Linked DNA regions of Lonchura striata. The protein of the gene in region 3 interacts with the protein of the main gene of each other region in a biochemical or structural test. Links are inferred from orthologs where the notes say so. Each region holds a gene or a part of one and is shown on either strand. Other genes may lie near its edges.

What was found.
Region 1: the proteins of DLG1 (region 3) and PTEN form a complex in vitro, tested with the Homo sapiens proteins (2 studies listed by BioGRID and IntAct, with this or other methods). The link is inferred for Lonchura striata from reciprocal best matches to the Homo sapiens genes DLG1 and PTEN.
Region 2: the proteins of DLG1 (region 3) and MAPK12 interact in a test that uses a peptide from one of them, tested with the Homo sapiens proteins (2 studies listed by IntAct, with this or other methods). The link is inferred for Lonchura striata from reciprocal best matches to the Homo sapiens genes DLG1 and MAPK12.
Region 4: the proteins of DLG1 (region 3) and CRIPT form a complex in vitro, tested with the Homo sapiens proteins (3 studies listed by BioGRID and IntAct, with this or other methods). The link is inferred for Lonchura striata from reciprocal best matches to the Homo sapiens genes DLG1 and CRIPT.

What each region holds. Positions count from the first base shown.
Region 1 is NC_134609.1:37,601,517-37,608,846, reverse strand, and holds the start of PTEN (phosphatidylinositol 3,4,5-trisphosphate 3-phosphatase and dual-specificity protein phosphatase PTEN), read left to right. Parts: upstream 1-4,329; 5' UTR 4,330-4,410; coding exon 4,411-4,489; intron 4,490-7,330. UniProt on the Homo sapiens protein: Dual-specificity protein phosphatase, dephosphorylating tyrosine-, serine- and threonine-phosphorylated proteins.
Region 2 is NC_134607.1:30,007,330-30,014,952, reverse strand, and holds the start of MAPK12 (mitogen-activated protein kinase 12), read left to right. Parts: upstream 1-4,610; 5' UTR 4,611-4,697; coding exon 4,698-4,813; intron 4,814-5,975; coding exon 5,976-6,105; intron 6,106-7,623. UniProt on the Homo sapiens protein: Serine/threonine kinase which acts as an essential component of the MAP kinase signal transduction pathway.
Region 3 is NC_134612.1:15,040,740-15,047,568, reverse strand, and holds the start of DLG1 (disks large homolog 1), read left to right. Parts: upstream 1-3,828; 5' UTR 3,829-3,894; coding exon 3,895-3,913; intron 3,914-4,185; coding exon 4,186-4,317; intron 4,318-6,829. UniProt on the Homo sapiens protein: Essential multidomain scaffolding protein required for normal development. Recruits channels, receptors and signaling molecules to discrete plasma membrane domains in polarized cells.
Region 4 is NC_134605.1:16,914,689-16,921,762, forward strand, and holds the start of CRIPT (cysteine-rich PDZ-binding protein), read left to right. Parts: upstream 1-4,059; 5' UTR 4,060-4,117; coding exon 4,118-4,133; intron 4,134-5,978; coding exon 5,979-6,044; intron 6,045-6,463; coding exon 6,464-6,518; intron 6,519-7,074. Other genes in the region: PIGF (GPI ethanolamine phosphate transferase, stabilizing subunit), read right to left, coding at 997-1,113, 1,976-2,067, 3,697-3,924. UniProt on the Homo sapiens protein: As a component of the minor spliceosome, involved in the splicing of U12-type introns in pre-mRNAs. Involved in the cytoskeletal anchoring of DLG4 in excitatory synapses.

The DNA.
Region 1 (7,330 bases), on a different chromosome or scaffold from region 3:
TAAAAGGGCTCCGCAGTCACTGGGCAAGGAGAAAACCTCCCCAAAATCCCCGTGCAGGAACCTGCTCCTTATGCAACCCGTGCCCTGAGCGCCAACCGAAAGGAAAAGCTTGAACACGAGAGAAGCTGAACTCCTGACGACACCCAAACGCTCAAACCCGCAGGAACTCAGCGTTTGCTTTCCCTGAGGCGAGGACTCCTCACGCCGGGCCCGCAGCGGCTCCGCTCTCCCCGTTCAGGCGCAGAAGGGAAACCAAAAGCGGCAGCGGCGCTGCTTTCCGTTCCGCCCCGAGGGCAAACCGAGGCACTGCCGGGAAAGCCTGGCCTGCCCCGGGAGCCCCTGCAGCGCGGGGATTCCCCCCGGTGCCGGGCGGCCCCGTCACGGCTGCCCCGGGCCGGGCCGGGCCGCGCCGCCCGTGACCTTCCCGCCGCCCGGCTGGTGCGGCGCGGCGGGGCCGCTCCGCCGCCGTGCCGCCGGGTCACTCACCGTGCGGCGGCTCTCCGGGACGCGGGGCGGGGCGAGCCGCAGGAGGAGGACGGAGAGGAGGAGGAAGAGCGGCGGGAGAAGCGGAGCGAACGCCGGCGGCGGCGCCCAGGGCCCGGCAGCGGCGGCGGCGCGTCCGGCGCTTCCTCCGTCCGGGCGGCGCTCGCCGCCCCGCCCAAAGGTTCCGGCCGGCGGCGGCCCGCGCGAAGGTTCCGCCCACCGGATGCGGGGCCGGGATCGGCCGGGATCGACCGGGAAGGGCCGGGATCGACCGGGAAGGGCCGGGAAGGGCCGGGATCAGCACCGAGCGGCTCCACCGGCACCCCCGGGCACGGCTCTCCCGGCTGGAACAGCGGGAGCTCCGCTCCATCCCCACTGTGAAAAATGCATGTTTTATGATTGGCTTTTCGCAAATTATACAATATTATATGTGTAATGTTAGACAGTTTTGCTGTTTTAATTCTCTTAAGTAGTGTGTTAAATGTAGTTTTAGGTTGCAACACTATGTAAAAATAGAAACTGCGATAAAGGATTTGTTGCAATCTCAAGCAGGCGGATGAGATAATCAAGAAACTCTTCACACAGAGATGTCAGCGAAAGAGACCCATAAAGAGTTACAGCCTCCTTATTGAAAAAGACATTCTTCCACCTTCTCTCTGTCTTTATGGAACCACCAGGACTAAGGGGAATAAGTTGACAAAAACTAGAAAAGTTCTTAATTTGCAAGGAATTTATGCATCAATTATGAGATATATGAATATGCAACAGGCTATTGCTTTAAAGGTTATTCCTTTGTTCACAAGGGATGCTTTTCCTTAGTATCCAAGAACATCCGGACCTCCGTAATTCTTTGCTTTTTATTGTCTTGTAATTGTCCTGACTCTCGATTTTATTACTCTAATTGTATTACTATTTTTATAACCATTTTAGTATTATTATTAAACTTTTAAAATTTTAAGAACCAAGTGATTGGCGTTTTTCACACCGCTAACACGTAACATTTGTGTTCATAACGTATACATCGTGTGAAGAGAAATATAAAATTATAAATATAAAGCAACACATATATGCATATATAGGCATATTTCATATAGTTATATATTTTATACATACACATGTGTACATAACCGATATAAAACGTGTCTCACGTATTCCCAACATACACATAGTGAAAGAACATCCAGGAAAAAGGTGGAAATGACGAGATCTAAGAGCCGTAATTAACCCGGAGTTTTGGCAGTTTCTCCTCAGCCCTTCTCTCCAGCCAAGGTTTTCCAAAGACAGGACAAGGGGAAATGGCCTCAGGCTGTGCCAGGGGAGGTTCAGGTGGAACATCAGCAGGAATTTCTTCACGGAAGAAATTATTTCGATTTGATCAGGCAAGTCCTTCCCTTTCACGCTGCTCCTGCAGGCTTTGATGGTAAAAAAAGATTATAATCTTCTGGGGGTTTTTGTTTTTCAGTTCGTGTGGACCATTGTGCTCATTCATTCCTGGAGGAAAATATTTAGGACCCTTCTGGTTTTCTTCCCACTCCTGGGAAAAAAGTGACATCTGTTTTGGTGCAATTAAGGAGAAACGCAAACACACACACAGGAGGAAAAGCAGCTCGAAACTTACGGTTGTGGTGGCAACCCCTGAAAGAAATCCCATGGAAAAATACATCTCCAAGACGTGGGGAAGTGCAGTTTTTCAGGGTGGTGGGGATGCAGGAGGTGTGGATTGGATTGGGCTCCAGTTTACCCAGATATTGAGGGATTGTGCCCAGGGTCGTGACTGATTTCCTTCCCTGAGTTCACGTGGGTTTTCCATGCATAGCTCCAGTGCAATGGGCTCTCTGGAAAAGGAATGCACTGGGAAGTATGGGGGAAAAGTGTTGGTGGCAGCTCTGTCCCCAAGCCCTTGGCATGTTGGAACACTTCCCACCTGAAAACAGAGCCAGGAGGTGGGAACACAAGTTAAAACTCAGACACAGAACAAGCTGGGGTGGCTGGGAACCTCCACCCAGCTCATTCCACCCTGTGCCACCTTCCACTCCATCCCACCTTGCTCCAGTCTGGCCCTGGACACTTCCACTCTCTCAGTTTGGGGTTTGCAGCTGGAGGGAAGGAGGAATGTAGAAATCCAGGGGGCTGACAGGGATCTCTGTGCCCACAAAGTGCTCCTGGAGGCCAGGCTTGGCACGAGGATAAGTGGATGCAGACCAGCCCCAAATATATTTGGCCTGAAAACCAGGAGGAGGTTCTGGGAATAGTGGTGGTAAAACATCTCAAGATGCAACTTGATACGTTGCTGAAAGGAATTATATAAGAGTATTTGCAAAGGCTGGAGGCTGCAGCAGCCTGGGAAATCCCTCCACCTGATGTTCCACTTTATTTTGAGTCCTTAAAGGTCATTTTCCTGCAAAACATTAAATTCCCAAAATTTACAGTTACAGTTCTCAGCTTAGAGTGCAAAGAGCCTTGTACAATGGGGTTTCTCCCCTAATGTTTTTAGACAGTTATAAAGACTGCTTTAGACATTTGTAGACAGGGTTTTCTCCCTGCCAGGATAACTGTGATCACTGTGGGAAGGAGAATGGACAGAAAGCTCCATGGAAATACCACGGGCTGCTGGGCCAGCCAGCCTGACCTGGGGGGACTGGCATGCCCCTGTCCCCGAGCTAGGCTACCCCGAGGATATCAGGAGGAATTTCCCCATGGAAAGGGTGCTCAGGCCTTGGCAGGGGCTGCCCAGGGAGCTTTGGGGTGCCCATCCCTGGAGGTGGCACTCAGTGCTCTGGGCTGGGGACAAGGTGGGCACTGGGCACAGCTGGGACTCCACGGGCTGGCAGGGATTTTCCAGCCTCAATGACTCTGCCATTCCGAGGGCAGCAGGTGGCCCAAAGCCCCCTTCCCTCCGTGCCCGGTGGCTGCAGGGGGCGACAGGCGCTCGCTCACCGCCGCTTCCCCCGGGCTGCGTAAGGGGAGGACGACAAGCCCCTTCAAGACGCCGGGCTGAGCACCCCCCCGTTCCTTTTCCCCGCGGGGCCGCACCGAGCCCGTTCTTCCCCCTGCCTTCTTCCCGGCCAGCCCGGCCGAGGAGGGCGGGGAGGCGAGGGGCGGCAGTCCCGGCTCGGGGGGCTCGGCCCCTCACGGCCCCTCACGGCCCCTCACGGCCACTTCCGCCCGCGGGGGAGGCGCCGCCGCCAGCGCCCACGTGACCCAACGCAGCACCGCGCCGCCTCACCTTACCGCCCGTATCCTTCCGCTCGCCGCTCCCCCCTCCCCCGCCCACTCCGTGCGGCGAGGGGAGCCGGCGGGCAGAGGGGTACGGACGGCGCCCGCACCGCGATCCGCTCCCCCGGTGCCCCCGCTCCGCCGCGTGTCCGCTTCTCCGGCGGCGGGGTGGGAGGGACTACTTTGTGTGTTGGCGGATGCGTCGCGTGGGCGTGGCGGCGCCGCCCGCCGTCCCTCTCGGAAGCCGCGGCCATGATGGGCGCCCCGCGCCGGCGAGCGCTGCGGGCCGGGGGATGAGCGCGGCCGTGCCGCCCTGAGGAGCCGCCGCCGGGAAGAGCCGAGGGAGCGACCGCCCGGCCCCCGGGGCGGGGAGCGGAGCGGGGCCGGGCCGGGGGCGCGCCCCGCGCCGCTGTCACCATTGCCGGGGCCCGGAGCGCCGCAGAGCTGCTCCCCCCGCCGCCGCCGCGCTCGCCCCAAACACGGCGGCGGCGGCGGCACCGCCCGCAGGGGCTCGGCGCGGCTCCCGACGCGCTCGGAGGAGGAGGAGGAGAAGGAGGAGGAGGAGGGAGCGGCAGCCGGTGCCGCCGCCGGGAGCCGGGCCCGCCCGGGGCTGAGCCGCCGGAGCATCAGCGCCCGGGGCCGCCCGGTGGTGCCTCGCGGCCGCCGCCCGGGCCCTGCGCGCTGCCCCGGAGCGGCCCCCGGCTGCCAGACATGACCGCCATCATCAAAGAGATCGTCAGCAGGAACAAAAGGCGATACCAGGAGGATGGCTTCGACCTGGACCTGACCTGTATCCTCCTCCCGCTCCTGCTCCCGCACGTCCCGCGATTGCATCAGACCCGCGCGGCGTTACCTAACGCGCTGCCCCCGGCCGCTCCGCCGCCGGGGCTCGCCCGGGCCGCCGCGCCCTCCCCCGCCGCCGCCGCCGCCTCGGCCGCCTTTTGTCCGGGCCCGGCAGATTAACGGGAGCTCCAGGATTAACGCCAGCGCTCCTTGCCGGCCGGCCCGCGGCCCCCCCGAGCCGCCGAGGGGCCGTGCCCCCCCGGCCCCGAGCCCCTGGCCGCTCCGGAGCAGCCGCTTATCTCCGGCTCTGCTGCTGGCTTTTGGGCTCACGCAGCAAATGCGCCCGACCCGACGTGATTTGCGTGCACAGCGCTTTCTAGATAGATATTTTTTTAATTTAGTAACTCGTCTTAAGTTGCGATTATAATCGTGGCAAGGCCTGTGGCTTTCCTCGGGTTGCTTCAGTCGAAGCCTGTGTCCTCTGCCCTGATTTCCAGCCCTCCACTAAGGCAGAGCTGTACCTTAGGATACAGCAAGGCTCTCCATGACAAGAGGTGGCAATCACTCCTTCTAAATTTAAAAAAAAAAAAAACAAAAACCAACCAGAACCCACCATTTTTTTCCCCGGTGAGCTGCACGAGGATGTGTCACAAACGAGAGCGCGTCGGGTCTCATCGAGGAGGATTGTATAGAATACTTATTCTGGAATAAGTAATTAGCGTGCAATTACGGCTAATGAGGCAAAAGCCGGTGTGTAGTTTTAGTGGCCTTTGGAACAGATGTGTTGGAGCGGAATCAGGCAGATGTTTAGCTTGGAATGCCCTGCAGCGTTCATGGTGGGTAGGGGCTCTGCTGGCGCCAGGGTCTTTCTCCGTGCTGGTGAAAGATTGGTGCTGTGGGAGAGGTTTTGGGGCAAGAACTTTGCTTAGAAGTTGGGAAAGTGAGTACTGACAGTAGTGCTCGGAGCTGGACTTCTCCCTGTGGAGAGATGTTTTCCGTTCTGCAACGGGATTAGGTGGAAATTTATTGGGTTTTGGAGCAATTACAGTCTGTCTGAGCAAGTGCTCCAAATAAATCCAGTTTTAGAGCGGGATAAAAGCTGTAGCTAGTACAGAGCTCTTGCATTGGGCCTTGGCCTAAAAATTTTGGTGGCTTTAAAACAACCTGAAATGTTCTGGAGTTTAGCAAGTGGCTGCTTGGCTTTTAGTTAAAAACCCAGAAGCTCTGGCTTATTATTCCTGCGTTATGTTTGTGATAGAAATACTTTCAGGCCTGGATTTTTAGGTGTTTCCACTTGGTGATTTTGTTGGCTTTATGGAAAAAGTTAAGTGGTAGCAAAACCAAAAGGTTTTGCCTTCACAGTTGAAGAGTTTGGTATTTCAGGAATCTTTGCCCAGATGTGCCTTTGGTAGGGAGAGAGATTTTGTCCCAAACGCATCTTTTTAACTGGTCATATGCTCCCAGCAAGAAAATTAGTGAATGCTGAACCTCGACTTTCTTGCTCAAGATTGCCTAATAATGTGACAAATGGAACTGATGGCTTATTTTTAATTTTTTTTATTAGAATATTGTGTTAAGGCAGGCCATTACACTGGGCTTAGGCTGGTATTTCTAAAAGGAGCAGCTGGCTGCAGTTCTGCCGTGAAATTTGTGGAAAAGATGGTGTGGTTTCTTTAATGATAAAAAAATATCATAGGAAGAAATGGAATTTTTTTTGTAGCTGCACATTTTGAACAGATAATTAATGAATGAAGACTTCTGCCTGTGCAGTGGCTTTGCTTGAAGGCTGATGTTGCTGCGGAAGTGAAAGTTGAATTTTTTTCATCACTTTGTGCAGGATTCTTTTTGCAAGGCTCCAATGGAGTTGTTACCCACCATTCCTGGTAGCTGGGAAATTGCCTGTGTATTCCTTATACACATGGCCATGGATTTAGCTCTCCAACCGTGTCATATAAAGGGGAAAAAAGAGAAAACCTGGAGCCCAAGTGAGCTGTTCAACAGGGCATGGCAGGAGGACCAGGTGTTAGAGAAGCCTGGTTAGTTCAGGGTAGCTGCCTCTGTCCAGCTAAAAGGGAGAGGCAGCCAGGAGTTCAGCATTTGGCTGGGAATGGGAAATGGAGGTCTGGGTTCCTCCTGCAGCTCCAGAACACTCAGCAGCTGCTGCTCACCTGGGCTTTGGGAGCTGGAGAGTGAAGGAACTGCAGTGAGTCCAGGTGAGGTGCCTGTGTTCTGTGCTCTGCCCTTTCTCCTGCCCCTTCCTGTCTCAGTGTCCCCTGTGGCCAGAGACTTTTGGGCATGGATATTATCCAGAGGCAGGCTGGATGAGGTGCTGGAGTGCCAAAATCCTTGGTTGGGCTGTGCCAGATCCTGTTAAAAGTGATATTGATATATGTGCAGTACAGGACATTGTGCTTGGAACCCTCAGTTCCTGAGGAGCTGCTTAAGAATCCTTGTTTCAGCAAAGTGAGACAGCATCTTCCCAAAATCATTGCAGAGCATGAAAATGGGCCTGTGTGTCTTTAAAAACCACACTGCTGCTGCTTGTCTTCTAATCAGATGTTTTCTCTGAGCAGTATTTATGCACATCTTGGAAAAAAATTTTGAACTTGGAAGAAAAGGTTTTAAAGGTGGAGACATTAAATCAGCTGTTTAATGCTTCAGATGTTTTTCTGGTTTATTTGGGTTTTAATTAATTTCTGCAGTACTGTATACTTTTTGGTGCACATGGGTGAGAAGGAAGGTTTGGATTAATGTCTTTTCTTTGATGGTTGCATTTCTTGATGCTGCAAGCACCAGAATGTTTTCTGAGGCACTCTGTGTGTTACTTCTGAAATTGTGCAGTTTAGTG
Region 2 (7,623 bases), on a different chromosome or scaffold from region 3:
ATATATGAAAATAAATACGTCAATATCAATAGCTAGAGTCATAATTTAGACAGCACTGTGGCAGAATTCTAGGTTGTGCTCTTGGCGTTTGTTTTTTTTTTGACGTGGTATACCAGATGAAAGCAAGAGGGAAGGAGGGTCAGGATCCTGTGCTGCAGGATCTGACACAGCAAGCTCACCCTAAGGGTCAGGAGGGAAACAACCCTTTCAAGGACAAAATGTTGGCAGCAAAAGAAACTTTGACAGAGGTGGGAAGCAGTCAATACAAAAGTTACTTCCTTCCTTTCTTCCTGTCACATGTGCTCCTGGATCATAACAAGAAAACAGACCTCCACTTTACCCACCTTTGGGACCTGATCAAAGATGAATCTGTCCAAAAAGTACCATACAGAGCTGCCAGCACAAATTAGTATCCTTTGCTACATCTGTAAATTACTGACTTGGCCCAAGAATCCCTGACAGATGAGCAGTGTTAAAGATTTCGCCCTCATGAAAAGAGAATTGTGTTGTCGATTGAGTAAACGATGTCTTTTGTTAGCAGCAGAAAGGGATTCAACCTTGACAAGATCAGTCTCCCTAGGAAAGAATTAATAGCAACACTTCCATTTGCTTTAAGAGCAGCTGCTTTTTTCTCACACATTGCTGCTACTGCTGATAGTGTTTATGGATGCGAACGCTGGTTCTTAGAAAATCAGCACACTAGCACAAGTGAGAGTACCAAGGCTCATTAATCTATGACTCTGGGTAAGGGGTTTTAAGGCACTAGTACCAAGAGATTTAGAAAGCTACATTAGTGTTGCTGCCACTGCCCTTCTTTCTGCTGTAAAATAAAATATTGAACTGATACACCTAAAAGGGTCTAAGTTTTCACTACAGTGACAGAATATATCGTGAGCTTTCTGAACACTGATCTTCCAACCAATCTGAGACTTAATCCATTAGACCAGAAATTTCAATTTTGCTCAATTTCAATGAGCAAAACTCTTCAATTAGGCTTCAATCTTGCATACATACAAATGCTTCATTTTGCACTCCCATAGTCCCCCAGCTCCAATTATTGTCACATATTAAATGAGTAAAGCTATCTATCAGTGATATCCATTAATGCTCTTTTCATACGATTTTTGCATTGAGGTTGGGAAATTCTTTAAGTTTTTTTTTTTTTTTACTCTGTAGACTATAGCGTCTCATACTGCAACAATCTGTGACAGTTTAAAAATTAAAATCCTTCTGTTGTAGGAGAGGACCTTTTGGTGGATTCTGAGGAGGAAAAGGAGAGCATTAAAAGTAGTTGATTTTCATATAGGTGTCTACTACCCTCTACAATTGGCCTCTCTTCCTCCACCAACCTCCAAGAAGCAGGGATAATGGGGTAGTATATAGTTACTAGTAAGGTCTCACTTGACCTCTTGAAAAAATGTAATGTATACTTCTAATTATTTTTTAAAATAAAAAAGCACTTAGGTGTATATATTTATTTACTCCTTTCTTCTGATGGCTTAGTGACCTTGAAACATGGCAAGGCCCCCAGGAAGGCTACATGTTACAGAACTGGAACTGAAACACCCTGCTCATTGAGCAGAGAGACAAAATCAGAAAAGTTGCAAAATAGTTGGCAGTGACTCCAGTGGGGAAGGGTGGGGACAAAATAGCACAAGAATATTTTCCTATTAAAACTGAGATTTTTTTTAATTACTATTTTTTAAACTTTACTTCCTGTTGTAATAAATAGAATTAACTTACTTCCTCCATGGCAACAGATCTAAGTAGACAAGCACAGAGTATTTTTTGAAGGTGGGCATATAGAAAACTTTTTTTAAAAAATAATGTTCTAGGAATCAGCTTTTGACTATTCAGCAAGATTTTGTTTATTGACATTTAAGGTATGTTTTACACAGCCAAATTATTAATATGTGAATTAGTGTATCAAGAATAAAATGATCATATGAAAGACAGACATATAAACAGGCAGAAAGGTGGGAAGATGTTTGATTCTTCAAAGGATTTTGTATGATCTCTTTTCCTGCACGTTATCAGTGCCTGGTCTGGAGATCAGTGTCAGTCCCCTCTCCCTGCACCCAGGGCCCAGCAGCTCACCCACAGTTCAGCTCCTGACAAACAGGTCTGTGCCATTTTGTCATCTCCCAGTGACAGCTTATGGTGGCAGCTTTGCCATCAAACTCTCTCACCAGACTTCATAAATGTAGGATTTCTCAGAAAAACTATTCGATTTCTCACTATTTGCTTGTAGAGCTTCTGCTCCAGCACCAGGCTGGAGGGAAATTGTGCTCTCAGTTCCCAGAGTGATTAGAAAAAGTACTGTACCCATCCCATCTACCTCATATGCTTTGCAGCTGATGGCAACCATCCAGCACATCAAAAGCTGACTCTTAAAAAAACCCCACCACATTCTGATACATCTTAAATCTTCCCTTTATAGGATGAACATTAGCAAAGTGCAATTTTTGCACCATTAATGCATTTATTATTTTTTGTTAATGATGTCTGAAGAAGTTCCTTTTTTCTATTAACTTTACAATAAATGTATGCCAGAAGTAGAAACATCTGATAGCACTCTTTTTTAAATCCATCCTGTCAAGCACACATTGCCCAGAATAAGATATGGCTGTAGCATCTATCAGTCCCCTGGCAACAAATTGTCTTTGGGAAAACACGTCACCACGTATCCAGCTGAGCCTAGCAGGATGCAGAGACTCATGCAGTTTGTGACACTGCTCTAACATCTACCAGCTGTGGATGGACCCAAGTTCTTGACTTATTCCTTTCACAGAGATTTTGAATGGTTTATTAGACAAAGCTTCCCTTGTTACAACAGTGCTGATTTCATAGTCTTTTCAGTAAATTTACCAGCTCATCTCCTGTATGTGTGACCTGGTGGGAAAGCTGGTCTTATATTTGACCTACACAGCTACTTCATCCATCTGTAGCAAAGTATGCCTACATATTTACTGAAGGAAAAACATGGGAAAACCAGAAGTGGATAACTTTGTCCATTTAGAATGTTTTTTAAAAGTTGCTCTGTAATATTCTTAGCTTCTGCACAAGAGTGAACTTCTCTTGATGCTAAGTTAGTACTTTTATCTACTGTATCAAAATAACCTAATTTCTGCCTTGATAAAAAGCAAGCAGTAAAAAAGTACCACTTTGTCACAACTAGATCAAGGAAAAGTAGGTGAGGGATGACAAGCAAAACTAATCCTGCCTCTATTAGAAACATATAAAATGGTAATTAAAAGTAATTTAACTAATGGTCTAGTTTGAAAAAAGAGGAAGCTACTTTATCCTTCACCTTACCTGTACCACATATCACACCAGCTAACATCGGAATGGCAAACAGCATAGAAGGGATGTAACAAATTAAAAAATAATCTCCTGGATTTTTAAAAGTAAATATCTACCATTGATCTAACACTTCTCACAAAGCCTCATGTTAACTGCTAAATGTCAGAGGGTTGCTCTCCTTTCTCACTAACACAGAGATTCGAACAGGTCAGCAGAGAGCAGCACTGGAACACCTGGCAGCTGGAAGGCTCTGCTCTTCTGTACCCCGGGAGGAGCAAGGGCAGGGCAGCTCTTCCACATTTGGTAGTCAGGCACCAAAAGGGCAGGGCCCCTGGCAACTACCAAAATGGCCATGAAACTTGTCCAGATTGCCCCTTTAGAGCTAAACCACAAATTGAACTCCAGTGACAGCAAATCTGAAATTATATAACCTCAGCAACATTGCTCAGGGGTGAAGTAAAAAAAAAAAACCAAAGGCTTTACCAGACACTGGAGGACAAGAATTTTAATCATATTCACACAGAGAACACATAAAACCTATTTTAAACCTGGTCTTTGCCTTACACGTGTTGCTGGCCCAGGCCTGTTTACTACAGAGCCACTGAGAAGGTTGCTCTTGTCCATACTCCAACACTGCAATAATTTCAAGCCAGTGCTGCAACAGTTCAATTCCAGTTCACTTCATCCATGCGCAGGACCACTTGCTCTGAGCACCTGAACCAAGCGCGTGGTTTTTATTTAACTATATGAAATATTGTTGTAACTTGTAGTGTCATTCTGGGATGGTCTGGGAACCTATCAGTTCGTCTCAGGGCAGAGGCTATCCAAAAGCTCACTTTTGGTACTCCCAGCGATGGCACCTCACCGGAACCTGAGCACAAAGGCAAAACAAGGCAGGCGTGAGGGGGCCCCGTGGCGGGGAAGAGCCGGCCGGGAGGGGTTTGGTCCGCACGGGCAGCGAGAGCCCCGGCACCTGCCCCCGTGTGCGGGCTCGCTCCGCCGCCGCCGGGACGCCGCGCCCTGCGCGCCCCGCGGAGCGCAGCCCCAGGCGGCCGGGCAGCAGGGATGCAGGGCGCTGCCGGCGGGCGCGGATCCCAGCGCCGGTCCCGGGGCAGCGGCGGATCCCAGCGCCGGTCCCGGGTCAGCGGCGGATCCCAGCGCCGGTCCCGGGGCAGCCGCGGATCCCAGCGCCGGTCCCGGGGCAGCCGCGGATCCCAGCGCCGGTCCCGGGCAGCGGCGGCGGCGGGCGGTGCCGCCGGCGGGGCGCGGCGGGGCGGGCGGTGCCGCTCGCTCAGGCCCGGCCCCTCGGCGCAGCCCAGCTCGGCGGCGCCGCCGCTCCCGCTCCCCCGGCCCGGGCTCTTTGTCGGCGCGGGCCGGCGGGGGTCGGCAGCGCCATGTCCTCCCCCAAGAATGGCTTCTACCGGCAGGAGATCACCAAGACCCTCTGGGAAGTGCGGGACCGCTACCGGGACCTGCAGCCGGTGGGGTCCGGCGCCTACGGAGCCGTGTGGTGAGCGGGGCTGCGGGGACAGCCCGGGGGCGGGGGCGGCGGCCTCAGTCCCGGCCCGGGGATGCTACCGGGGCCGGCCCTCTGGCGTGTTGGTCCCTGCCAACTTTTCCCGTTTGTTGTCCGGACCCGGGCTGGCCCCGCGGGTGCAAGGGCGGCCCCGCTGTTCACCTGGCCGCCTCGGGCCGGGCTGTTCCGCCAGGGGGAGCCGAGCCGCGGGTGTTCCGTCCCTCGAGGGAGCGGAGCCCGAGCGCTGCCCCGGCCCCGGCCCGGGAGCGCTGCCCCCGCCCCGGCCCCGGGAGCGCTGCCCCGGCCCCGGGAGCGCTGCCCCGGGAGCGCTGCCCCGGCCCCGGGAGCGCTGCCCCGGGAGCGCTGCCCCGGCCCCGGGAGCGCTGCCCCGGGAGCGCTGCCCCGGCCCCGGGAGCGCTGCCCCGGGAGCGCTGCCCCGGCCCCGGCCCCGGCCCCGGGAGCGCTGCCCCCGCCCCGGCCCCGGGAGCGCTGCCCCGGGAGCGCTGCCCCGGCCCCGGGAGCGCTGCCCCGGGAGCGCTGCCCCGGCCCCGGGAGCGCTGCCCCGGCCCCGGGAGCGCTGCCCCGGGAGCGCTGCCCCGGCCCCGGCCCCGGCCCCGGGAGCGCTGCCCCCGCCCCGGCCCCGGGAGCGCTGCCCCCGCCCCGGCCCCGGGAGCGCTGCCCCGGCCCCGGGAGCGCTGCCCCGGCCCCGGGAGCGCTGCCCCGGCCCCGGGAGCGCTGCCCCGGCCGCGCTGCCGAGCCCAGCTCGCGGCACCCCGGAGCGGCTCCCTGGAGCCCGAGGTGTTTTAGCGCTTGAGGCGGGCCCCTCAAACGCAGTTTGGCTCTGCGTTGGTGGTGGGTTTGTGTGTTTAGTGGGATCTTTTTGTCTTGTTTCTCGTTTGGGAATTTTCCCCCACTCCGCAGATGTTCCTCTTTAAAGCTTTTGATAATTGTCTACATTTCATCACAGGATCTGGCAGGCTTTTAAACGATGGCTGCCTGCAGAGGTGCTCTGGGGACCCGGTCTCCCCGCTGGCGCGGGCGGCTGCGGGCCCGAGGCCCGGCAGGATGCAGCCGCTGCCCGGTGCTGGCCGCGTCTGCTGGGGTTTGCAGACAGGCTTCGGTCCTTGCTCACCGAACTCTATCTTTTCCCTTAAAGCTCAGCCGTCGATGGAAGAAGTGGTACCAAAGTGGCTATTAAGAAATTGTACCGCCCGTTTCAGTCTGAACTCTTTGCCAAACGAGCATACCGAGAACTGCGTCTCCTGAAACACATGAAACATGAAAACGTGAGTTGAGTCATTAGCTCAAAACCACAGCTTAGACACTCTAAATCAAAGAAAATATGTATATTTGGACAGGGCAGATGTGTACCTGAATGGAATTAAGGAATCTTTTAGCCTGTTTTTTTTGTCTGCCTGTTCTACAAATATCACTTCACACAAACTAGAATATCCTGTGCGAAACACCACTTAATTTCCACGTAGGAAAAATTGGGTGGGGAAGGTTAGGACTACAGTGCAATTTGCTCAGTGCTAGTGAGAGGGATTAAAGACCAGAAATTACAGTCTCTATCTTTTTTCTTTTTTTTTTTTGTTCCCCTGAGCTTTCATGAAGATGTACACATGCATATCTCTGAGGCGGGGTTAGCATTTTTCTCCTTTTTTATTTCTTTTTTTCTCCCTTTTTATCGTTTATGAAGCATTTGAAACTTTCAGGCTGATATTAATGGGAAACAGGAAAAGTCCACAAGTGGCTAAACAAATTGCTTTACTGTGAAACAGAGAATAGGTAATAGAATTCTGCACATAATTCCCATATAACATGAAAGAACAGCTGTAGAAAGAAATGTTGAAAGTGTGATTGAGAGAAAGATTCATGGTCCCAATACTGCTTAAGAGTTAGGAAAAAAATAAAGAAGTTTGTGCAAAAGCAGTTGTTACAGAGTCTCAAAGCATGGATTCCAGGTGAGAAGAGTCCCAGGGTGGATTTGGAGGGTTACCATAGTATTTTTAAGTGCTTTTCATGAAGAATGCATAGGATAAAAAACTCTTTATTTGTTTGGAGGGAATTGTTAAAATGATGCATAAGAACATAGTTTAAAATGTTAATTGATGTGGAAGATTAGAGAATACCTCCATTCAGAGTGCCTTCACAAAAAACTGAGAGATCAAAAGCATGAGAGAAAATGGTAATAACAATAACTAGACATTGCTATTTAATTTTATAATACTAATATTGTGAGTACCAACTAGGTTCTTTTGAAGAATAATTTGTAGGCTATCCTGACAGTCCAGAAGGCAAAAGAGCTTTTTGTAGGCTTAAGAAACTGTCTACTTGTTTTAATCTAAATCTTTTTATCTAAATACTTCAAAGTAACTGTCCCATAACCTCTACTCCATATGTTTAAGAGTTAATGTTTGCAGGAAACTTCTGTGTATGGGCTTTAATACTCTCAGCGTTTTCTTTACTGAACATTTGGGAGCAGAGCAGCCTGCACAGTTGCCAAGCTCCTGTGTCCAGAATTTTGAGATTATTTTTCTTCCATTTCCCAGAATAATCTGTTGGGTAGCATTTTCCACTCCTAACAGGTTTTGTACAGTGTATGCCCTGTGGAATAATACTCTAGAACTTCCCTGTGGGCTCAATTGGTAATTAAAGTGTCCTGAAGAAAATGCTCACTGGGGAACCGGAGCACAATGTGTACAAGTTACAAATCAATATATATGAAGGAAAGGAATGATTTACAATCTTAGGAAACACTGTGGGCCACAGAAAGAAGAGGTTTGTGTACTAAAGAAAGGTTT
Region 3 (6,829 bases):
TGTAACTACTGTATTTTTTTGGCCATACTAATTACTGTAAATTCTTGCCATGTGATGATGTCTGCTGTCATTTTTTTCTTGGTGTTCTTGTGTTGATTGACATTGTGTGTGAATCTAGGGAATGGTTTTTGAAGTCTCCTGTTCTGAGTTCATTATACCTCTCCAGTTACTGTGTGGGACATCATCTGCAACACATCCACTGCCACTGCCAGTTTGAGAAGTCCACGTTGTCAGCTGGCTCCAGTGGGACTTAGGGGTTCACCAGGTAGCTGGCATGAAGTCAATCCCCCCATGTCCTGCTGCCCAGCCTGTGGCCAAATTGTGATTGCCTCAAAACATAAGAAGCCTGTCAGCATTCTTGCTCCTTGTAGTGTGGTGCCAGCTGACCAGGTGAAGTTTCTAAAGCAGAAAGAGCCATTTTTAAAGTGGCAGCTGGACTGCTTTGAGGAGTAGGAGCTGGTGTAGGATCAGGTACAAATCTGTGGCAGGGCTCACTACTATGATCACTTGCCAGAGCAGGCAGCTGCCAACAAGTTCTGGCATAGTTTCTCAAAGTGGGAAAACATCATCTCTGTTTCACTATAGTTTATGAAACTGGGATTATTAGGCTCTGACACAGGGCTGCTTTTCCCCCCCATGTACAAATGACATGGGCTAGGATCAGGTGGCTGTTATAGAAGGTTTTCCAGGGGAAAAGCTTGTGCTGTGCCGGCGTCCCTGTTGCCAAAAGCTGCCTGGTTCTGTATTACACATCCCTCCTAAGCAGTATGTGTGCTGCAACAAGCTGCCTGTCCCTACCAGAGACCATCCCAGCAGAACATCCCAGGCACACTCCTGGCAGCAGCTGCAAAAGGGATTTTAAAGGAAATCTGAGGGCAGTGGGAAAAGGCCACTGGTCACATCCTCAGATGCATCTGAGGACTAAAGTGGCAATGGGCTGCTGCTTTGTGTAATTGTCCTGGAGTTCCTATGCCAAGGGTCATTTTGGAGCACAGCCAGGGCGTGTTAAGCATAATGCTGACTTCTATACTGACCACATCAGTCACAGTTTAGAGTACAAGCTTTTCTGTATGCTGCCTGTAGTGGTTTGATTTAAATGATATTGTTAAAGTCGTGGCACAAATGATGCTCTGGTTCACACTCAGTTTTCCCCTCCTCCAAGGAAACTACACAATTTCCTGGAAGCTGGAGCCTGTAGAAGATGATATGTAACACAGGACAATTTTGCAACACTGTCTCTAGTTGTAATGTTGCTAGCAAAAAGTAATTTTCCATTCATGGGATATTTTCTATATGTGCTGGAATTTCAAACCCACTTTTCATACTGAAGTTTAATACTGTGTTTCTGGTTCAACTGCTTTCAATCAGCAAATACACTCCTAGAACAGAAACAGAAGTGCCGGGAAGCAACATCATTCTCTGAGGTACAATAAAGCTCACCTAATTGCTTCCTGACTTGCTGATCCATCATCCTGACCCCCTCTTTGATGTTTTCTTTCTTTCTTTTTTTTTTTTTTTTTTTGTTCCCCTAGAGCATTAGTAACAAGTGAGAAATGCTGTCTCAGGGTGTTATATATGGGATTATTTCGCTATCCCCAGCACAGTGACCGTATGTAATGGGATTATCTCTTATTTAAAATAAAAAAAGACTTGGAAACATCAAATACTGTATATAAAAAAATAGTTTCTTTATAGTGGTTCCTTTAATAGTAAAAAAAGTTTATTTTTGTAATAATACATTTTTGTCAGTCAGCAAAACCAATCAAAATGCTGCAGATGTCTCCTTTCTGCTAGCTAAATTTAGATTGTTCTTCCTCTCCTTCTGTATATACATTCCTCTGACATCAAGAGGGCTATTGCCCCTTTACAGCACATTTATTGCTGTTGTAAACACTGAAAACTGATGAGGCCAGATGATGGAGGCTTCTGCCAATGTCTCTTCTTAGCCTGCTTTCATTTCAAAATATCTGAACTGGTACCAGCTGGTGCCAAAATTCTGTGATATGAAAATACAACAAGAAAGGAAGAAAATGGGCAATTGTGTGTCAGCACTAAATGTATCTTCTGCTTGCTTCAATGAGATGTGTGAACACTTTCACAGTACATAGCTATGGGAGCAGGAGAAACTCCTGACACAAATCAAAGAACAAAACATAGGACTATTGGGGAGGGAAAAGAGAGAGGCCTTTTCTAGATCTAGGTTAGATCTGTCATGGTGTAATATTCCTTAAGATTAGGTGCTTGCCAAAGTGAAGTCTGGATCTGATTTTTAGACTTCAAATTTATGAGAGTTGCCCAGGAGGCTCTTTTTAGGTTCTTTGGGTAAGTTCTTGAACATTTTCAGTTGTGCTTAAATCTAACAAGTGTAAATGGAAATGTGAGCTTGGATGAAAAACCAAAAAAACCCCCAACCAAACAACCTCCCCCCCCCCCACCCCCCCATCTGCAGTATTTGCCTTGAACTTTCAAGTCTCTTTCTGCCTCTCATACATGTATACCTACAGGGTTTGAAGTGTATCAGATCAGGGGCTCTGGTTGACTGTCCATCTCATTGAGAGATAAGTTAACATTCCCTCTTAGAGCAAGGGATGCTCCTACATCCACCAGCTTTAATATACATTTCCTTTTAGTGGGTATATAGAATATGCTGCAAAGACCATTTAGCTCATATGTCCAAGGCACCTATTTCTATGCTGTTACCTCTTTGCCATCTTAAAAGAAAACAAGATGTTTTGCCTTTGAAAATAACTTATTACCATTTCCATGCCAGTTTTGAGAAAGTGACTATCATTATTCTGACCAGTCCCTGATGTCAGCCTATACAGCCCATTTCTTAAACTTTTTATGTTTTCTCCTGTGATGTCCTTATGCTGACCTTATGTCCAAAGCTATTTATTTTTCTTCGAGTCCTTCCTCCTCATCCTGCTCTTCCAGGACGACTGAGGGAAAAGCCCCAGCACCAGGTGGGTGGCAGTGCTCTGTGTGGTACTGACTGCGGAGGCCGGTGAGGCCAGCGAGGTCCCTCAGCCCTCCTGCCTGTCCCAGGCCCTGCGAAAGGCGGCCCCGGGCTCCCCGCGGCCGGGCACGGCTCCACCTGCGCTTCCTCGCGGCAGGAGCCGCTCCGTGCCCGGCACTCCCACGGCACCATGGCGGTGCTTCGGTGCGAGTGGCCCGGAAACTCCCGCACTCCCGGGACAGGCGATCCCGCAGGTACCCGGCGCACACCTGGAGCGCTCCCGCCCTCCCGCAGCCCACGCCGGGCGCCACCGCCGGGGACGGCGGCGGCGATGTGGTGCAGGGGCGCTCGGGGCGGGTTCCGCCGGGGCCGGTTCTCACGGCGCTGCCGCCGCCGTGCCGGTGCCGGTGCCGGTGGCGGTGGCGGGCGCGGCGGGGCGGGGCGGGGCGGGGCGGCCCCTTTAAGGCGGGGAGCGCTCACCTGCCTCCTCCCCCCCCGCCGCCAAGGTGCCGGCCCCGCGCCGGGCCCTGATTGGGCGCCCGCCGGGCCCGGTCACGTGGGGGGGGTGCGCTCCCCCAGCCTCCAGGCCGCCATTTTGGTTGGAAAGTTTGGAATTTCCGAGCGGTGCGGGCGGGAGGTGGCGGGAGCGTCCCGGCCCCGTCCGCCCCGGCCCCGGCCCGCCGCGCCGCCTGCCCCGCGCTGTCCCGCCCGGCCCGGCCCGGCCCGGCTCGCCCCGCATCGCGCCGCGGCGGCGCCGGCGGGAGCCCCGCGCGGAGCCGCTCGCTCGCCGGGCGGCGGGGCCGGTCCGGCGGGGCGGCCGCCGCCACCCCCCGCGCCCGGCCGGCAGGGGGCGCCGCCCCCCGCGCCGCCCCGGGCCGCGCTCCGAGTGCGCGCGGCGGAGCCCCGGGGCAGCCCCGGGCGGGACAGCGCGGGGCGCGATGCCCGTCCGCAAGCAAGGTGAGCTCCGCGCCCGGGCCGCGGCCGCCGGGGCCGCCGGAGCCGCCGGCTGGCGGCCGCTGCCGCGGCGGGACGGGCGGGGGGCGGCTGGCGGGAGCCGCGGGGCTGCGGGCGTTGCGAGCGCGCCGGGGGCACCGTCCCGCCCGCGCTCTCCCGGCTGCGAACAAAGGAGCTCCGCGCCGGCCGGGGCGGTCCCGGCCGCCGGGGCTTGTTGCATCCCCGGGGCTCCTGCCCGGTGCGCCCCGGACAGTGTGCCTGCTCTCCGCTTGCAGATACCCAGCGAGCCCTGCGCCTCCTGGAGGAATACCGCTCCAAGCTGAGCCAGGCGGAGGATCGGCAGCTGCGGAACTCCATCGAGCGTGTCATCAGCATCTTCCAAAGTAACCTTTTCCAGGCTTTGATAGGTAAACGTTGGCTTCTTTCAGTTCGTGCGCAAGCCGGTCGGTTCTTGCTGATGTTGTCGCTTGTGTTGTTAAGAGCAAAAGGTGTTTTACCCGTAAGTTAAAAGCCATGTGCTTGTCGTTGTGTTTTTGTTTTGCATAGTAACACACGTGTTGTTACAGATCAACAGTTCACTTGTTACACGTACTTTCTTTATTTGAGGTTTTTAACTGGTCTAAACTGCTTAAAACTCTGGAATAGTTCTTAATTCTGTGACATGTTGTCCTAGATTTCTTGAGATTGTTTCTCCATGCATCTTTGTTCACCTGATAAATTTCTAAGGAGGGTGTGTTTTTTTTTCTGTCTGTATGTAACAGGTTAGTGAATGAATTGAAATGTTTTTAGTCTAAGGAAGCCGCAATTCCGGTTGAAGATTCTCTAAAAACAACACAAAGTGTATAACTGAAGTGCAAATTTAACCTAAAGTAAATGAGAGGAAACCTCTAATGCTTCAGGGAGTACTAGAGTATTCTCCTTTGTTGCATATAAAAGTATAGAGAAAGCACTTTTAGATCTCAGTTTACAGTCCTTATAGTGCTTGACTTGATATGTTCCCATAAGTTCATAGAAGAAGTCGCATGTAATTTTGAATTTCCTGCCGGTCTGGTTGAAAAAAAAAAACCCTGAACATAAATAGAACTTGCAGAATCCTGTCTTTATTTGGAAACTTCTGCAGAGAAACAGTGAGAAGTGGTTTCTTCTTGATTGATTGTCACTATCTTTATGACAGTCAATGTTAGCTTACCCTCAAGAATAAAAGTTGTTCTGTATCCTTGTCTTTTAATAGTAACCACTGTCTGAATCGGTGGGACTAATGGCAAACATTGTAGCTATATTTGTTACTTGACTTACTACATGGCTACTGTGCTAGGGTGCACATCTTCCTTCACAGGCCTGCAGCTTCTTCCAACCTGTGTTCTGGTGAAAGCACAGGGACAGGAAAAGCATAAACATGCGTTGCTGCTGAATGCTTTCTTCTGGAGTGTTTATTTTATCATGTGTAGATTTTCAGAAGAGAGTGGTTGTGATGTTTTTTTTCCTTAACATGTAGCTTCCTGTGGGGTAGTTGTGAAAATAGGTCACTTAAAAGACTTTTCCTTATAGGAACTCTGCATTTCTCTTCACTAGACAGTTGATGCTAATCAACTCCATGATGAAGAGTTAACATAATCCTTGTGGGACCATGTGAACGGATTCACTCTTTGGCAGATCAGAATGTTGAAATCTTGTGTCAAATATTTAATGTACAGCAGCAGCACTTTTTATTTTCACCCAGAAAACTTCAGTGTTGACTGCCATTTTTCTTGTTCTGGGTGTGTGTATGTATGAAGGTTTTTTATTTTAAAACTCTTCAAGGTCCATGCAGTACTCTGTTTTCTCCCCTTCATTGAAAAGATACCAATCTGTTAGACTTAGATATTCAAATTGCAAGATGTATTTTTTTCCCCTCCATATATAAATGTTCATTGTTTATAATTCTACACCTAGTAGTAGTAGTGGACTTGAAAGAGCAGGCAGCCTCATGTCTGCAGGAGCAGAAAGGAGGAATGGGTTGTTGCCTGGGTGGACTGTGTCACTTGTTTTCTGGACTTGTAAGAAGCTGCACATTGCAACCACAGGACCCTAGTTCTTGTTGAGTTCATCTGTGCATGCACAGCAGGTGCTTCTTGGGCATGTTGCATTAACTTTGCATTTCCTGGGTCCCTGTGTGATAGTTTATTAGATTGCATACATATGTTCCCAAACCATCTGGCAGAAGGCTGGTACTTGCCAAGCAATTTATGCTCTCAACTTGGGTCTTTCTCCTTTAACCTGTTACTTTCTGTGCAAATGTCAAGGGAGTTCTTGTCCCTGACAGGCTGCTCCTGGCTGTTGTTTTCCTGGAAGCACCTTCTTTTATGGTGTGATTACTGCATGATGGGGGTAAAAAAGAGTGGGGAGGCTCGCTGGAAAGGCTGTGATCTGGAGGATGGCTTCAGTTACTGGGAAGGCCTTAAGCTGGCTCCTTCTTGTCCTGTTTCCATGAAGATCTGGGAGCAGGCTGGATGAAATGTTCAGTTGTGCTGGGGGTTAGACTTACCTGGAATTCTCTGTTGGTTATTGCTTTATGGCTCAATTTGAAGTGTGCATTTTATAGAAGTTGTGATGTGCTCCCAACTGAAATAGCCAAATGATGTTCTCAATGTGGCTCAACTATACTGAGTTATTTCTCTTGTAGATCCTTCTTCCAGAAAGTGTGCTACTTTTAGTTTCTGTTTTTTTTTTTTTTTTTTTTTTTTTTTTTTTTTTTTAATAGAATAACTCTAAAAAAAAATCCCCACCAAACTTCATCCATTTAGTTTCTCCTTTTTCTGCCAAGTTACTGCACTATATCCAAGACTTGTTGGCCCATAGTAGGTAGGTTTGTGAAGGTTGTAGTCAGGATCTGCTGTCAACTTCATGCATCTTTTTTAGTATAATTTTTGACTTGGCAAT
Region 4 (7,074 bases), on a different chromosome or scaffold from region 3:
ATTTACACTGCCACTGAAAAAAAAAAGTGTAAATTACTTGAATAAGGATCCAAGATATTTTTCAGTAAGTTGACAACTGAGATAAACCAAAATTTAATACCTGAAAGTAGTATTTAAGTCTTCTCCTCTACAGGAGTGCAAACGAAAAAAAATTCCATAGGTCAGTAGTGTAATACAACCTTTCACTGTCTTCTGAGATAAGACTTTGCCATTATGAACTTTTAAAAGGGAATGAATACTAAAATCTCACCAGATCTCAAGCATAGAAGCCTCTTTATGCTTCAGTGTCCCAGTCTTTCAACATGCTATTATTTATGGAATGAAAAAAGGCAGAAGAAATTGAAATCTTCTGAAAAATACATTATCCTTGATACATGCTAATGCCATGGCTGCCACTGGAGGTGAAAATGTGGTTAGAAGGCTTGTTTTACTTTAAACATACTCCTGCAAAAATTAATGCCTGAAAACTCTGACACTCAAAACAGCTTTCTTTGAAACTGAAAATAGTATGGGTTAATAATACATACTTAAGAACATAGTATAATTTTCAACATTACACTCAAGTTTCAAACAGTGCTTGTTTTGACTTCCTTTTCCTACTTTAAAAGTTGCATTTATGAAGGTACTACTGGATCATGTGTAAGATTCTCCATGCATAGCTCAGTGTCAGGTCTCCCCTTTATTTGTCAACCATCATACAGGATTGCACAATGCTTTTACTCCAGTAGAATATGGGCTGGAAACATTACTTCCTTCAAACACATATAAAGTGAGATTTAGCATCTGAACACCAAAAAAAAAAAGCCATTTTTCTGAATCGGTGTCTTCAAATAAATCTTTTTGTCAGAAGAGCTCTCATATGTCTGTAATCACAAATACAAAATCCACCCATCATCCAGGAAGTTTTCTTTACAAAAAATTCTATTATATATTTTTTGTACCAATTCTGTCCATTTCTATTCAGAGAAATATCAGAAACTTTAGATTAGGACTTACCCATTTTTGCTAAATACCCGTATCCATGCCTGTATGTTTGGTCCCAGCAAACACAAGCATTGTAAAGTAGTGTATGTAGACAGAAGAACTGCAAACAAAAATGTCTCAGTCACTAACCTACAAAAAGAAAAAGAATATTACAAAATTAAGTGAGGTGGTTTTTCTAAAAGTTCCAAGATTTAGGAAGAACAAAGTCCCTCTCATTCAACTTGTGAAAGCATGTTCGCTTTCTTAAACTTCATATAAAGGAATAAAATATTTTTTTCTTACTCTGTAGAATAGTAAAGGAAGCTTGAAAGAGTTCTGCTGTTATCTCAAGAGTGAGATGTAGTAATTTTTTGAAATGGCTGAGACCTGTAATATTTTTAAAAAACCACAGGTGTACTTCACATAGATCATTAGTTCTAAACTGAAGTATTCTTGGATATTTACCAATTTAATGATTCCATTTTTCCAGTTGTAACAGCAACCATGAAACCAAACTACATTAAACTACTGTTAGTCAACAACTTAGTATATCTTTCAAAACCCAGGTTGCTTCACACTTCTTTCATTAAACTTTCAAAAAAGTTAAAACACTAACATCAAAAGGATGAAAGACAAGCCATGTGGTTTAGAATCATATAGGGAAAATGACTAAATAAAGCTACAAAAAATATTTGTGCCCATATGTCGAACATAAAAATTAAAGAAGCTGTTTGTAACTGTATTACAGTTTTTATTTATAGAAGTCTCATTTAAAAGCTGGCTTCCAAACAAAACAACTGAACAAGCAAAAAAAACCCAAAAAAAACCCCCAAAAAAACCAACCACCAACCCAAAACCAAGAGAAAGCTGAAACAGCCACCTTTCTTCCCCCAGCTAGGAGCTTATCCCTTAACTTCTAGTGTACGAGAAAATACACAAGTATTTATACCAACATCTGCAGGGAGAGCTGCCCCTTAGAATATTTAGAGAAAGAGAGGGTCTTTTGACTTACTCTATGAGAGGTGCTCCATAAAGAACAATAATCGCATGAAATAGTATGCAAGACATGAAAAAGTATATACAGCATTTTAGAAATCTGGATATCTAAAAAAGAGCAATGAAATATCAGAATAATGCTTCAAAACAGAACATAAGTAACACACACCCTCTAAATCTTTATCAAGTGCATTGTATTCTGATTAGTACTTTAATTTCAGCTGAAGCACAATATAATAGCATGGCATATTTCAAAACAGTTTTCCATATATTAGTACTTGAAATAATTAATTTAAAATCATCACAATCCACCTACAATTTTTTTTTTCACGCATCCCATTAAAACAGGGAAAACATACAAAAAATATAACCAGAAATTACAAGATAAGCAGAAGTAATTTTATTGGACATTTTTACACTTCTGTTTTACATCTGTCATATCCATTCATTAAAAAGCAACTCTCACAAAAAGTGAAAAAAATTTAAAAGCAAGAAAACATACAATATATTAAAAGTCTGCTAAACAAAGATTCAAAATTACATTAACTAAAACTACATTTTGAACTTGGCATCTTAAATTCTGAATATATTTGAGAAATATCCATAACTTTCTGTAAGTTATATATATACACTTTTCTATGAACTTAACAGTTTCTGGGTACTCACTGTATCACGTAGAGGCAAAAACACTTTATACACAGTTCTGGTGAGGTCTGTTTTGATCAGGTCTGTTCTGAATCTGTAACTTCCCTTATTTTTCTATATTTACTCCTACCTATTTTTTCTTCCTAGGATAAAATCTCACCTAGAACATGATGTGTGCTTCATTTTTAAATTATGGATGGTTAAAATACTTGCTTTCCATCATGGTTTTGTGCATTTCATATCCTCCTCAGTCAGCAAAACTATACACAAGCTTTGCACACAAAGAGATGCTGGCAGGGAAGATCACTTAAACATTTAAGAACCACCTCAGAGCACTACATCTTGCCTGGCTCAGCATGTCAGGAGTGAGACTATCCCCACCCGATTTCAAAACCCTGGGGTATTCCTCCACTGCTGGGCAAGTCGTGTGCTGCTCCAAAACCACTCTGTTCCAAAGTATTTCATTGGGATTCACACCTTTAACACTCCCCGTTGCAAACTAACTACAAAAAGCTTCTCCCAAATTAAGATCTGTATGCAAATTTCATCATACGAGGAAATGCAGGCATTTTAATACCTTTCCATGTAATTTTTTTTTCAGTTGTTGAAATGTAGCATAGTATCTCTTTTATGTGTCAGATTCTGAATTTATTTTTTTTCCTCTTAAAGTTATTACAAACTTACAACTCCACATGAGGAACGTGTGATGACATTTCTTCCTGGTATATCCACTTACCAAGAAGATGAGTCAGGCCTGGACTACAAAATTAGTTCTGTGCCATTTAATTTTGCCAGGTTTTGCCACCACGCAAATTCCTGGGACAATAAACAATATTGCATTGGCAAGAATCAGGAAAGCATAGACTCACTCATCTGAACAGGTTACTTACAGGTAGGGAAAGTTTAACATCATGAAAATACTGAAAAATTTGTTTCAAGAGATGCTACACTCAACTCACTGATAGAAAATGAGAATTCACCATCAAAAATCGGTTGGTTTTTTTTCATTTGATTATTTTAAATGAGATAGAGAATTTGCTTCCCCTCTGGATTGACTGGCAACAACGTAAGAATTTTTTTTAAAAGTCTTACCTTGTGAGCAAAGGAACGTCTCTTAGGAGACTGGTTTGGTTTAAGGACTAAGTGCAAGATTATATCGAGGGCAGCAACACAGACAGAACAAACACACAGCCAGGTGAGGTGCGTTCCCAGGACGCTGAATCCGTCCAGGAGGAAAGCCGGGGCCAGGGCGGCCAGGACGACGGCCAGAGCGCGGAGCAGGTTGGCAGCCAGCAGCCGCCCGACCTCCGCCCCGCTCATGGCGCCGGGCAGCGCCGCAGCATCGCCCCGGCCCGGGACGGAGCTCCGGGCCCGGCGGCGGGAGAAGGGGAGGGTGCTGGGGCAGGAAGCAGCGCCCGTTCGAAAAGCCAAACCCCGCCCGGCAGCGGAAGGCGGCGGGGCCCGGCCGGCGGCACCTCCGGGGCGGTGCCGGAAGCGGCGGCGGAGGGGCGCCATGGTGTGCGACAAGTGTGAGTACGGGGCGGAGGGGATCCAGGGCTGCCCGACCGCCTGGGCCTGCCCGAGGGCATCCAGGGCTGCCCTGAGCGGATCCAGGGCTGCCCTGAGCGGATCCAGGGCTGCCCTGAGCGGAGCGGCAGCCGCGGGTCCCGGGCTGCTCAGGGCAGGCCGCGGGGGGCGGTCCCGGCAGGGCCCTGTGTGAGCTGTGGTTCTCCCCTATGTGAGCTGTCCTTCTCCTCTGTGTGAGCTGTGGTTCTCCCCTGTGTGAGCTGTCCTTCTCCCCTGTGTGAGCTGTCCTTCTCGCCTGTGTGAGCTGTCCTTCTCGCCTGTGTGAGCTGTCCTTCTCGCCTGTGTGAGCAGTCCTTCTCCCCTGTGTGAGCTGTCCTTCTCCCCTGTGTGAGCAGTCCTTCTCCCCTGTGTGAGCTGTCCTTCTCCCCTGTGTGAGCTGTCCTTCTCGCCTGTGTGAGCTGTCCTTCTCCCCTGTGTGAGCAGTCCTTCTCCCCTGTGTGAGCTGTGGTTCTCCCCTGTGTGAGCTGTCCTTCTCCCCTGTGTGAGCTGTGGTTCTCCCCTATGTGAGCTGTGGTTCTCCCCTGTGTGAGCTGTCCTTCTCCCCTGTGTGAGCTGTCCTTCTCCCCTGTGTGAGCTGTGGTTCTCCCCTGTTGAGCAGTCCTTCTCCCCTGTGTGAGCTGTCCTTCTCCCCTGTGTGAGCTGTCCTTCTCCTCTGTGTGAGCTGTCCTTCTCCCCTGTGTGAGCAGTCCTTCTCCCCTGTGTGAGCAGTCCTTCTCCCCTGTGTGAGCTGTCCTTCTCCTCTGTGTGAGCTGTCCTTCTCCTCTGTGTGAGCTGTCCTTCTCCCCTGTGTGAGCTGTCCTTCTCCCCTGTGTGAGCTGTCCTTCTCCTCTGTGTGAGCTGTCCTTCTCCCCTGTGTGAGCAGTCCTTCTCCCCTGTGTGAGCTGTGGTTCTCCCCTGTTGAGCAGTCCTTCTCCCCTGTGTGAGCAGTCCTTCTCCCCTGTGTGAGCAGTCCTTCTCCCCTGTGTGAGCTGTCCTTCTCCCCTGTGTGAGCTGTCCTTCTCCTCTGTGTGAGCAGTCCTTCTCCCCTGTGTGAGCTGTCCTTCTCCCCTGTGTGAGCTGTGGTTCTCCCCTGTGTGAGCTGTGGTTCTCCCCTGTGTGAGCTGTCCTTCTCCTCTGTGTGAGCTGTCCTTCTCCGCCTGTGGCACATATCGATGTGCATCGTTTAAATTATTCTGTCCTGTATCATCACTAGCGTGAGCAGCAAGGCCAGGGAAGGGATTGTCCCACTGTGCTCGGCACTGGTGAAGCCGCACCTCAGGTGCTCTGTTCAGCTCTGGGCACCTCGCTACAAAAAGACATTGAGGTGGCAAAGCAAGGCCACAGAAGGGCAGCAGTGCTGGTGAAGGGTCTGGAACAGAAGATGTGATGAGGAGCAGCCGAGGTTGTAGGGGTTTTTTAGTCTGAAAAGAAGGAGACTCAGGGATGGCCTCATCACCCTCCTCAAGTCCCTGAAAGGAGGTTGTAGGCAGGTGGGGACGGGCCTCTTCTGCCAGGCTACCAGTGACAGGACAAGAGGACTCAGTCTTAAACTGGACCAGGGCGCGTTTAGGTTGGACATTCAGAATTCTTTCCTAGTCATGGAGACTTGGAATGGGCTGCCCAGGAAGGTGGTGGAGTCACCATCCCTGAAGGTGCTTAAAGAAAGACTGGATGTGGCACTCGGTGCCAAGGTCGAGGTACATGCTGGTAATTGGTCACAGGTTGGACTTGACAAATTCAGAGGGCTTTTCCAACGTAATTGACTCCGTGATTCTTAGCTTTTTCCTTTGTAATGTTTCCTTATGTAGGTGAGAAGAAGCTTGGAACAGTGATCACTCCTGATACATGGAAAGATGGTGCAAGAAACACTACAGGTAACCTCAGCAAGGTTTAGCAGCTTGGTTTTGAGGTATTATAAAGCCAGCTGTGCACCTGAGCTATGTTAACATCTTAAGACCAAAACTTTATATTACTAATCATGTTAAATATTAAGTCATGTACTTTCCCTCCCATGCTGATTTAATGCATTGGGAATTTATTTGTCCAGAACTCTTTGGTATTGAATTGGTCTGGTTTTGTTTTCTGGAGTTTTTTTCTTTCTTGCATGGGAGGACAATACATAGAGTATTTAAACAGAGCATAAAGTGTTCTGTTACCCTGTCTCCAATGCTGTGCTGAATATTTAATCTCTCTTCGTGACTTTATTTGCATATGTGTAAAAGTTGTAAATGAGGATTTTTAAAGTATGCTTGGAATGTTGGAATGGGGTTATTGATTTTTTTTTTTTTTTTAGAAAGCGGTGGTCGCAAATTAAATGAAAACAAGGCATTGACCTCAAAGAAGGCAAGGTTAGTCCTTAATACTGATTTTGGCCAAGAACATCATTTAGCAAACTAACTGAGACCTGTTTCCTACATAGCTGGGCAGCTACTCCAAACTTGTCCAAATACACTTAATAAATTAAAATTGCAGACTTAAGGTATTTGATTTGTCGGTAAAAATATGTCCATACATATTTCATGGGTGCTTTCTGCTCAGTCATGGAGTATTTTGCTGCAGTTCTCACTGGAATTGCTAGGATTTGATGCTTTTGTAGGAGAGAAGCTGAGAATACTTATTTTCTGTGCTAATATTGCCAGGATAATCTCTTGAGCATTTCCTGCATGTCTGCAGGACTTTCTGTTTGCAAGGGGGCAAGATGCTGCTGGGAGGTGTTTAACTTCAAAGTCATTTAGTATCTTAATAAAAATAAATATTTTTTGTTCTGCTTTCATGAAGTTGTCTGTGGTGGAAGAAATGTCTCTCAATAGGGAAAGTGGGAGCTTTTCTGCATACTTTGTGTAGCCTGTTAGAAATAATTCTTGCATGTCTCTTTTCTAAATTACAGTTTTTGCTGGAGTTTCT